3 linked regions of the Danio rerio genome follow. The protein of the gene in region 2 interacts with the protein of the main gene of each other region in a pairwise test. Links are inferred from orthologs where the notes say so. Each region holds a gene or a part of one and is shown on either strand. Other genes may lie near its edges.

Region 1 (4,443 bases), on a different chromosome or scaffold from region 2:
GCTAAAATCTAAAAACATTTGAGTGAGCTGCCTAATCTGACTCTATGATCTAAGCTAAGCAATGCTAAAAATGCTCTTATTAGACCCGGAGATTAGGAGAGCCATGTAATAATATAACTTAGCAGTCAGATTCTGCAAACAAAAGATGTTTTTTGTTTTTTAATAATAACTTAACAGATTATGTTTTTGGAATAGTTTTTAAAACTGTATTGTAACAATAAACAGCTAAGCATCTGCTTTAAAGGAACACTTCAAGTTTTTTGAAAATAGCCTCATGGAAGCACTTTTAGCTTAGCTTAGCTTAGCATAGATCATTAAAATAGATTACACCGTTTAGCTTTTTTTGTAATAACAGACGGATACTCATAACACTGTGCAGAAAATGTCACAAATCAAAGATTTGATGTTAAATCTTTAGCCCTGCTCACTCATAAAGCACTGTGGATTACATTTTTGTGAGTTTCTCTCTGAATATATTTAAAACCAAAAATTTAAATGTCCTTGTCCTTTGCATTTCTTCAGTTGAGCCATTTGCAATACTTCATGGTATTGTGACTTTTCTTTTTTGAATCCACACTTTCCAATTTTCATGGAAATTTTTTGCTTCAAATCAAAGTTTTAAATATTGTAATTCACCTCATATCTGGTTGGTGCGTTTCGTGTCTTCTAATGCTTTAAAGCCTTTTAACAAATCCTTATGGGCAAAATATTTCCTGAACCAGCATTTATGTGCATCATTATAGTTTTGTTCTTGGTGTAAACAGGCCATTTTAAAAGTTATACTGTGATAAATCCTTTGATCTGTGAGCGAGTATTGTGACTCATAAATCGGTAGATTTGCACAAAACTAATTCTAGAATGTAGCCTGTACAATCACACTTTATTTGTGACATTTTTATTTTTGGTCAGTTTCACTTTCATAACAGCAGTATGATTAGGCCATTTACTGTAGGCTGAGGTTTTGCTGAAGTCCTTTGTCTTGCTGTTTCACTTTTCTAAGTTCCTTTTTTCTGTAAAGATCACTGTAACATTAAATCTCTAGGTGCTTTAAATAAACATAGACTTACCTCAGAAGTGTTGTGATCGTTCTTATTAACATGAAAATTTGCAGTCATCAGTAAAAGTGTTTTAAAATCAAATAACTCTAATTATCGTTGGTATATTATAAAATAAAGTCAGTTCCTAGTAGATTGTTCTTTTAAAAATCATAATGCTCATAAATATAGTTTATAATAGCCATTTTGTTTTTATTTTAAGAGGTTTGAAACCACTACAGGTACATGAATAACTCTTTAAGTACTGCTATGGTTGTTTTAAACACGCAGGCATTATGATTATGAGACCCATTTTTTCCAGCTGCTTTTTCCTGCTCCTTTTATTTTTATGGTGCAGCTAGTCTGCTGTGTCTCTAGTGGCTGGTAAAAATGAAGCACCGCTGTCAGTCACAGGCACAAAATGAGCTGTGATGTTTTTCCCAAGTCTACAGTTATCATGAATCAGCCCCAGTTGGTCAACAAGACCAATGTCTCATGAAAATACTTCCTACTTTATTCTTCCCCATTTTTTATCTCAAAGCTTGCTGTTGTGTGTCACTGTCCAATAAAAGTTAGTGAGTGAGTGTATTCGTTTGCTCTTTTCCATAATTCTTGGACTTATGCAGGAATTCACTGGCGTTTGGGTGAGGGATCCTCGCATCCAGAAGGAAGATTTCTGGCATGCCTTCATGGATTATGAAGTTTGTATACATGTAAGTGCAGTCGTATGCAAATGGTTAAAACAAAAGTCAGATGCTTCCTGGTTGTTATTTGTATTTTGTATTTGCTTAGACAAACAGCTTGGCGTTCACTAAGAAGAGCTCCTGTGTGCGGCGGAGATTCAGCGAGTTTGTGTGGTTAAGAAAAAAGCTACAGGAAAATGCCTTGCTCATGTATGTAGCCGTTGCATCTGCTCTTGCTATTTATATCTTTTATTACTAATGGTTATTCATATGTAGGCAAGACTTCAATACATGTGAGAGTATCTGCATACTTATTTTATTAATATTATTATACTTTTAATTTGAAAGAATATATTGAGAATGTATGAATTTGAAAAAAAATCAATTATAATAAATGTTATATATATATATAATTTTTATATATTAATGATTTAATAGATTTTTTTAAATTAAATTAATACAGACAAATCCCCAGACCTTGTGTGTGGAAGTCATTGGTTATAGTTGAATTACATTTCCAATGTAGTTTTTTAAAAAAAATAATAGATACTTTTAATCAAGTAATAATTTTACGGAGTTATTTTATTACTATTTTAATATTTAACATTATGTTTACTTAGTCTATTTCAATTACTTGCCAACACTTTTGTTAGTTTGTAAGGATTTGCACATTTAGGTTTTCCATCTAATATTTTTATATTTGTTTTATTTAATTTTTAGTATAATCCTCAAACATATATTCAATAGTTTTGGCTAACAATATCAACACTGCTAATTGTTAAGCAGCTGTACTGTAGACATTTTAAAATTTCTGTCATTGGGCAATTTCCATTGACTCAAACTTAACCTTTTGTATTTGAATTGCAGAACACATATACCTAAACTTCCTCCAAAAAACCCCTTCTTCAGTCTCAACAATGCAAAAGAAATTGGAGCCCGTATGGAGGGGTTAAGGAAATTCCTAGAAGCGTAAGTGTCTGAATAACCACACACACACACACACACACACACACACACACACACACACAAAACATTAAATAAAAACAAAACCATGACTCACAATCAAGGGTGGATTAAGTGATTTTGGGGCCCTTAGCAGTTCCAGCCATGGAACCAACAGTCCTAAAATGCACCCTTTTTAGTTTTATTCATTTTTATTTATTTCAAGAATTCACACTTAGCTGATGATTGATTATAAACAAGTTTGGCATGCTTACCCAATAAAGAGCCCTGAGCTCAAAAGGTCCTTGAGCCCTGGGCTCCCTCCTGTTTGCAGGGCGCAAGGGGAGCTCTGAGCTCAGGTAGCTGATCTCTGGAGAACTCCCCCCTTGATGACAGAAAAGGATTGCTATGGAGAGATATGCTACTGCATGGGAGTTTGACTGTAGTGCTAAATTTAGATTGATCAATGAACTTGTAGTGCATGTTTTTGGAATGTTGTAGGAAACCAGAGAACCCGGGGGCAACCCACGCAAGCACGGAAAGAACAAGCTAACTTCACACAGAAACGACAGCCAGCCTGTTAAAGAACTAGAACCGGTGACTTTCTTCCTGTGAGGCAACAGTGTTAATCACTGGGCCACCGTGCCACCTTATGAAGAGAAAGGTGGAGGAGTGGGGATGGAATGGGGGATTCTTCAAATCGAAGATGACTGTAGTGAGAAACCCTGTCTCTTTAGAGTGGGTTAGGATTTGTTTGATTGGTGGATCAAACATTGTTAAAGCAGAACCAGCCGTGTTCAATCATAAACACGTGATCCTCTCGAAATTTGTTTATAAATAAACTTCACTTATTTTGCAGGGTTTTTTATATCACGGAATCTCCTTTTTCATGTTTTATCTCAATGAAATCTCTACATTTTAAGTGATTTGTGTTGTTTACGTGAACTCACATCTAAAAAAAATAAATGAATAAATTGAAAATAATAAATATTTTTTAAACAATTGAATCTCTACCTGACTTGACTGCTGGACTGCTCCATGATTGGGACAAATTTGCATAGATTGTATAATTATGGTAAAATGTAAATTCTAAGACCCTCACAATACAAAATATGATAGAAAACAATGCTATTTGTATAATTTATACTTCTTGGTATTTGTTGGTCCCCTCAAATTTCCTGAGGCCCTAAGTGGCTGCTTACTTTGCTTATTGGTTAAATCTGCCCCTGCTCACAATCACTTTTGATGTCTTGAGCATTTGCTTGTTTTTCCATATGATCTTGTAAGACTTTTCTGATAAAAGAATGAATAAATAAAAATCAAACTTTTTGGTACAAATGAGATTTTACAAGTCTATTTAACAATCCACTAATAACTAAAGTAACTGAAATGGTTATGGTTTGATTAATCAGTAAAATGTTTACTTCTTCCAGGGTGGTTCACAGTGCGGTTCTGCTGTCAGACAGTTGCTTGCACCTCTTCCTACAGTCCCAACTAAGTCTGAAAAAAATTGAGGCCTGTGCTGAAGGCAGGACTCGCTACACTGTATCCGAGGCCATTCACAGTTTCAGTTCTGGACACAAACGCTTTGATTCACTGTGTGAAGAGAACATGGAAGAAGAGCAATGTGTGCAATGTGAATCAGAGTGATTATTTTTGGACAATAAAATGGAGTCAACGCACATTATGCTTTTAGATATAAAAATACAACCTCTGTCACTGTTGTTATGCCTTTTTAAAAAGATAGTTTGTACTGTTTAAGGTAGGACTACCAAAATGTACAC
Region 2 (3,655 bases):
TTTTCTTAAAATGGATAGATCACTAAAAATGAAAATGACCACATTATTGACTTCCTAATGTGGTTTAAAACAGAGTTTCCTCTGTTGAACACAACAGAAGATCTTTTGGAGAATGCTGGTTGTTGGCACCCTTCACTCTTTTAAATTTATGAATGGTGTTCGGGGCCTCTCTGTGTGTGTGTGTGTGTGTGTGTGTGTCACACAGAAATACACACACAGTATTTCTGACGGCAGACACGTGAACTAGCAGAACGTTTTTCTCGTATTTCTGACGCGCTTGAACCACATGTGACAAATTATAACGGCTTTAACAGACACATTTCTAAGTTGTGTGTCACAAAAACAGTTATCCATTAAAAACGTCATTGAAACTCATTTTCGGAGCGCAAATTACCAGTTGTACTCGCTGTAAGCGGAAGTTTTTAGCATTTTACCGGAAGACGCTGGTCGCTATGGCGCCCTCCATGCAGCAGCCATGAAACTATATGAAACATTAACTATAGTTAAGATTATATTTGCATACGAGATACAATAAAATGTATCAAATGAGTATCAGATGTCTTTTTGCATATCGAATTTCAAAAAACTTAAATTTACTTAATTACTCAATACTTTATCATGCATGCATTGATTGTGTAAATAAAGGCTGAGGCTAAGGATCCTTGGTAAAAAAACAGCATTGGGTAAGTTACTTAAAGGAAAAAAAAAAATTACAGCTACCAGCATTCTTCAAAATATACATTACATTTCTTTGTGTTCAAACAGAAGAAACAAATAGTTTTGAAACAAGTAAATGGTGAGTAAAATGACAGAAGTATTATTTTTTGGGTGAACTAACCCTTTTAGAGGCAACACATTTTTACACTTATTTACATTTACCTCACCATCATGCCAATCATCATGAAACCAGCGATATATAGATGCAGAGAGACTCTTGTTTAGGCTAGCGTAGTGTCTTAAGATTATTTTCTTTTTAACAAACAAGCAAGCAGGGCAAACGAGGATAAAATATAAATAGGATTTAAAACAAATGGAAAATGACTTCAGCTCACTTGAATGTTTCCCCCAATTGGTACAGGGAGATTTAATAAATCCTGTTTGCAGGGAGGGCAAGAGGCAGCACATATTTCTGGATAGAAATTGTGAATTTCCATGAGCCAAGTACAATGACCTCTTTGTTGCGCAGCCTAGTGTGTTTGCACGTGTCTAGCTTTGATAAGAGGTCAATGACTTTTCTACAGTTTGCACAGTTGTGTCAGATTCATAAATAATTACATATTCTGCTAGCTTAAAATCTAATAATTATAAATAAACAATAATAATTATTTTTTTGCAATGCAACAAGCTGGACATAAGCAATGCATTGCTGTAACAGACTTGCATTGTTTTTACGAAACAGCATACCTATCAGGTAGGTGAGGAAGAGGTTATGAACTTGTTGTCCAATCCAGGCCACAGCCACAAGACTGCTGATCACAGAGAGGAAATACTACAGAGAAGTAAAACAAGTGTTACATGGAGGAAGACCAAACTTTCACAATGACATCAAGTTCTCAGTTGCCTACTTCTGTCATCCAGCTCATAAAAGTGTGTATTATCATAAAGTTAAGTCTTTTCATAAAGTCAAGTGATAAATTCACATTCACAAGCCAAGTCAAGCTCTTAGCATAGCAATTAACAGCATAAAACCCCAAAGAGAGGTACTTTCTGGAAGTCTCATTTAATAAAAGTTATATTGATTCGTACACAAAGAGAGTAAATGCAGCATTACGGTAACATTTTACAGTAACAAAAAAAACATTTCATTTGACATTTTAAAATGATCTGTGTGATAAAGCTGAATCCTCATTTACTACACCACACCTGGAAACAGATACACGAGTCTTTAGTAAACAAACTTCAAAAGAACAGCCTTCATTTGAAACAATGGTTTTGTAATATTAGAAAATGCATTTTCACTTTTGATCACCATTAACTTTAAATCTAAAAAATCTTTTGTTCATTTGCTTGCTTGTGAATGTTTTAAGAATATATAAGAGATAATGAGGGCTGCTGCTTACACATCTGCTCTCATTAATACCATTTAATCTATGTATATTGTGACATCAACAATGACAAAGCCCTTAAATATGTTCTCTTAAGGGCAAAATTATTAATTATGTATAAGCTATGAATTAGGTCTGCGTTACATTTGTTTATTTCAACTGCTGAGCAACAGTGATAAAACAGATTCAGTGGTGTAAAAAATGCAGCTCGCAGGGAGTGGTATTAGTCACTAGTGAGTTCTTTAGACATAAAACAATGAAGGTGTTTAACAAGTCAAAGCAGAATACCATTTTTGGCTTTTCTTCCTTCAGGGCAAACAGACGTTTCCACCAGCCGAGCACACGGCGCTGAGTCTTCACAAGGTTTCCACAGATCTCATGAAAACGCTGCTGCTGTTCTGTGGTCCTGTGCAGGAACAAAAAAATAGATAATTAGACTCCTCAAAACCCTCCCCAAACTAGAACTAATTAATTACAATATCTAAAATACATTTAACCACCACAATAGCAAGTAATAAATGTTTTGCGAAATTAAAAGTTTATTTTTTTAGATGTTAGTATCCGTATGTTAGCTTTAAGAATATCTATAAGCTAATGTGCTCCAAAACAGTGACAAAGTTTACATTTAGAAGTTATGCCCAGATTTCCAAACTTGACTACTGCATACTTCAGGTTTTACATCAAATCTTTTGTCCAGTCAAATGCTCTCCAGTATCTGACATGACCCACCCCCTTCTCGACTCATTTGATGAGGTTGAGCTCAACCGCTTTCACTGGCAGAACAAAATGAAACACTATTGGTTGTTTTGTTTTGTTTTTCAAGGGAAAGAGCTACTATTTCAAACCCTGTCTTCATGTTTCAGTTGTGATTGCACCAAACACTGAATTAAAAAATGCACATTTCAAAGCATTTCATTGCATCTTAAACAACAAGACATTTCAATTTTTGTTGTTGGGGGTTGGGAGAAATTGTTTCTTCATAGAACACATAGTAGGGGAAAAATGGTTTCCAACAACATGTAAAATGTCCGAACTCTCAGTACTCATAAAAGATTCAACAAAAAGCACAGAGAAGACCCATTACTTCCACTGAGATTCTGCAGTGCTCATCTGATGGACGCTTCATTATGCCACGAGGCCAAGGGTAAGAGTTTATGAATGGCAGTTAAGTGAAACAATGGTTGCTGGTAAATCATGTGACAGTAACAAGATATCAAACAGTGGATCCAAATTCCATTCACGCTACAAACATTCCAACTATACATCACTTTTTTAAGTAAATAGTTTTTCAAAATAAACACCTATTCAGCAAGGTATATGCTTTTTAAACAATAACTATTTTTTGTATGTTGTTAAAATGTAGCTCATTCAATAATAACGCAGTTTATAAAGAATAATAACAATATACTGCAAAATGAGTGGCATACAAGATAATATCAGCTTGCGCAATGTTGTGACAATATTGCATGCAAGGTTTCTGCAGGTTTCATAAGGGTACATTTAAATGTGGTGATACATGGTGGAGCTGAGGGAGGAATGTTGCTTGGACACTTTCCCCATTGAGAATGTGCAACAAAACCTTATCTGAATCATTTAAATCACACTTTTGA
Region 3 (3,655 bases), on a different chromosome or scaffold from region 2:
GAGTACAACTAGTAAATTTTTTCTTGAAAATGAAAAAATGAAAAAAAAAATAACGATAGTCTTATCAAGACTTTCAGAATAAGGAAAAAAATGTGTGAGACTGATAATTGCAACATTAAATTTACTGTCCTGTCAAGACACTGCATTAGTAATGCTTCGCATAAGCGGTAATTTAATGCAAAGGTACTATAATACATACATAATGACATATAAACATACATGCGTTTAAAAAAAATCTAAATATTAAAAACTTTCTAGGGTTTAAGATGCTGATGACTATTATGCACATCTTAACAATCTTGTGAAATGGGTCATATTTAAAACCACACCCCATTTAACCTGAGCTCCGCCCCTACTCAATAATCAGTTTCAGTTAAAAGTACATTTGTATCAGCTTGCATCCGAAATCACCTACTACTCGGGTAGGTACTACATTTGAATTTACTACACGACTGCTAGAAAAGTACTTTCTATATAGTATGAATGTGAGGATGAATTGAATTCTGACATACTTCCATTTGTCTTTATCATGTGACCTACCCAGTTGCGCGGCTTTACTCTTATTCATGAATTCTCTCACATTTTATCATGGGATAGCATACTGTCCATTGGATGCACACTTCAGAATCGTGCCCATAGTAGTAGATCATCCACGCACTTCTCGCCTACTGTTTTTTGAATATTATGAATTTTAATATACAACTCGGCTCGCATAGTGTTTTTAGCGTACTATTTAGTAGCAAAGTATGCAATTTCAGACACAGCCACTGAAATAAGTCTCAGCAACTGCAAAAACAATTCGTTTTTCCTATTCGTTTTTCCTTTAGAGATTTTAAAAGGTTTTTTATTAAAGTGTTATTGACCTTGTTCTGCAATGCAGTGCGCCCGTTTTTGCAATTGTTTCAGAACTCTGATTCAGTAACATTTAGTGGAAATGACTAGGCATAATAAACGGCTTGTTTTACAAACAAGTGTTTTTATGACTATACATAAAAAGAAGAAGAACATAATAAGAAAATCTTAGTTTGCAACATTAAGCAGCATAACAAGCTCTTTTTAACATGTAAAAACCAATGCTAGTGAATGAGACTGCAAGTGTCGAGCCAAAAAGATTCCAATGGCTGCCCCCGCTCATCTATAAAGAATAAGGCCAGTAAACCATAATCCAAACCAACCAGCCGAGATCAAATCGAAACATTGGGTGTTGTAATTCAAGCAAAAAAGTATATAGAAAACAAACAAAAATATGAAGGTACAATAATGTGTACATAATGGTTTAAGGGAAGTTTGTTTATAAACTTATTTCGAGAGGATCACGTGCTTATGATTTATCACGGCCGGTCTCGTATTAGCTAATCATTATCTTCCAATCATATGAGCCCTAAGCTACTATAAGAACCACAGTTTTCAGTCCACTTTATCTTCGTTTGGAAGAAACCCCCCTTCCTCCCCAAATCTCCTCCTTTACCATTGATCGGGTGGCACGGCGGCCCAGTGGTTAGCACTGAAAGCCCCACAGCAAGAACACTACCGGCCTAATTTCGCCTAGCCGGTGGGCGCTTCTATGAGGAGTTTGTATGTTCTCCCCGTGTTCCCGTGGGTTTTTCCCGGGTTCTCCGGTTTCCTCCCACCGTCTAAAGATATACATCATGCTGAAGAATCAAGCACTCTTTTAGCCCCCCTTCTCAAGTATTCCCTTAGCTATCGCAGCCGGGGAGTTCTGAGATCCACCGAGCTCAGGCTCCCCTCTAGCTCTGCGAATGGGGGGAAGCCCCGGGCTCGAGGATCCCTTGAGTTCGGGGCTCTCTCCCGGGAAAGCATGCCAAACAAGCTTTGATGGATCATCAGCTAAGTGTGAACTCTTAAAATGGGGGAAAAAATACAATCCTACAAAGCATTGCAGATGATACATTTGAATTAAAAATGACTGAGAAACATAAAACTAATCATTGAATGTGGATTATTGTATAAGTATAAAACGTATTTCAAGTTTATTGTAAAAATATTCTTATGTAATATGCATATGCAGCATTCACTTAATGCAGTGGGCTGAGCTAAAGATGTCTTTTGGCAGGCTTTGTTTGCTATTATTCTTTGATCGGTAGAGCATCTGTACAGCATAATTGAGTTACAGTAATTACTGTACTGTAATTGAGTTTTTCTGCATAAATTGCTATTAAAACACATTGTTATAAAAAGTATAATTAAAGGCACAGTATGTCATTTTAGCTGCTAGAGAGCTCATTCACAACAAACAAAAATGTAGTTTGATGTTGCTGTGAGTGTGGAATCATGGGAGTTGTGGTCTTAATTACATATTGTGCCTTCACAAGTTCAACAAAAGTGTATTCAATTGATTAACAACCACTGGCAGAACTCACAACAAGTCTGCTTTTAAAGTTTCATCATTTTCTGTAAAAAAAATATATATATATATTGTGAAAACGCAAATCTGAACCTGACTGCTGCTCTTGTGAAATGAGCTTTATCCAGGATTTTTGTAATACAGACCCGTTTGTCACCTCACAGGTTGGGTTTAAGAGTGTTTCCGACTACATCACGTATGCATGGGTAAAAGATGACCAGGTGTCTTTCAATGAGGAGCTCTTTCAGGTTTGCAAAATTTACTGTCTGTGTTTTTTAATATAATCAACAGAGTCGATTCATATATTGCATTGTCATTTTTACAGGTTTATATGAACAAAGATGAAATTCCAGTTCTTGGGGGCGAGTGTGTGCTGTGTTATTACAGCAGCAACCTGCAGTGTATTGTGGGTATTAGTCAACCTTTCAAGGTAAGCAACACGTCAGTTTTGCGTATTTATCAAACATCAAAATAATAAAAGTGTAATACAGCATTTGTGCATATAGAAATTGAATTATTTATTATTGTAATTTCTTGGAAGTAAACAATCATCATTCTCGTACTTAACTGTGAATTTAAAAATTGGAGTTCGATTTAAGATTTTTTTGCCACAAAGTGAGAGTAAAGCCCCAGTCAGATCACACGATTTTTATTGTCGGTTACGAAAGTCACTATGTCAGATTATGCATTTTTGTCTAGATAAAATCTTGACTTGTCGTAGGTTCCTTCACGATCAGTCATCCCGTGACGTCTACGAGCTTCATAAGCTATCAAAGTGTTGCTATAACAATATTTCCTATCTCAATTTTGATTTTTTTTTAATCTTATTTCAACCTCAGTAAACACTGATGCTTGCTGACAATTAGGCTACATTATTTAAGGTAATTTGTTATGACATTGATACGATCAAACGTATATTTCCTTTTTAATATTAAAATATTTTCATTTAAATCGAAATGTATATTTTCCAGCCATGGGTTGCTTATAAAACAAACATGGAGAAAATGAAAGCACATCAGCACAGAGGAAAAATCAGATGCTTAAAATAATGACATAATATAAAATTTGCAATTATATGACAGAGCTTTGTGATACAACAATTACAGTGGAGCATTAATTAAATCCTTATTTTCCACGGGGCAGAACACATCATCACTGCACAGTTGAGTAGCATAGTGAACAGGCACAAACAAAAGTTATAATTTGTATATTTTTCTTGGGAAAAAAAATGAATTGAAACAAATTTCGTTTGGTATAATTTGTATGTTAAATTGAATGTATTTTTTTTGT

Evidence for each region.
Region 1: the proteins of arl6ip1 (region 2) and snx10b interact in binary tests that used the Homo sapiens proteins (3 or more experiments, as listed by UniProt). The two-hybrid records come from large-scale screens. The link is inferred for Danio rerio from reciprocal best matches to the Homo sapiens genes ARL6IP1 and SNX10.
Region 3: the proteins of arl6ip1 (region 2) and inpp5ka interact in binary tests that used the Homo sapiens proteins (3 or more experiments, as listed by UniProt). The link is inferred for Danio rerio from reciprocal best matches to the Homo sapiens genes ARL6IP1 and INPP5K.

What each region holds. Positions count from the first base shown.
Region 1 is NC_133191.1:22,386,711-22,391,153, reverse strand, and holds the start of snx10b (sorting nexin-10B), read left to right. Parts: upstream 1-1,575; 5' UTR 1,576-1,654; coding exon 1,655-1,747; intron 1,748-1,826; coding exon 1,827-1,927; intron 1,928-2,584; coding exon 2,585-2,686; intron 2,687-3,248; exon of another isoform or gene 3,249-3,795; intron 3,796-4,092; coding exon 4,093-4,309; 3' UTR 4,310-4,443. UniProt on the Homo sapiens protein: Probable phosphoinositide-binding protein involved in protein sorting and membrane trafficking in endosomes. Plays a role in cilium biogenesis through regulation of the transport and the localization of proteins to the cilium.
Region 2 is NC_133178.1:29,894,390-29,898,044, forward strand, and holds part of arl6ip1 (ADP-ribosylation factor-like protein 6-interacting protein 1), read right to left. Parts: intron 2,452-3,655; coding exon 2,334-2,451; intron 1,490-2,333; coding exon 1,405-1,489; intron 1-1,404. UniProt on the Homo sapiens protein: Positively regulates SLC1A1/EAAC1-mediated glutamate transport by increasing its affinity for glutamate in a PKC activity-dependent manner.
Region 3 is NC_133190.1:36,476,850-36,480,504, forward strand, and holds part of inpp5ka (inositol polyphosphate 5-phosphatase Ka), read left to right. Parts: intron 1-2,529; coding exon 2,530-2,613; intron 2,614-2,690; coding exon 2,691-2,795; intron 2,796-3,655. UniProt on the Homo sapiens protein: Inositol 5-phosphatase which acts on inositol 1,4,5-trisphosphate, inositol 1,3,4,5-tetrakisphosphate, phosphatidylinositol 4,5-bisphosphate and phosphatidylinositol 3,4,5-trisphosphate.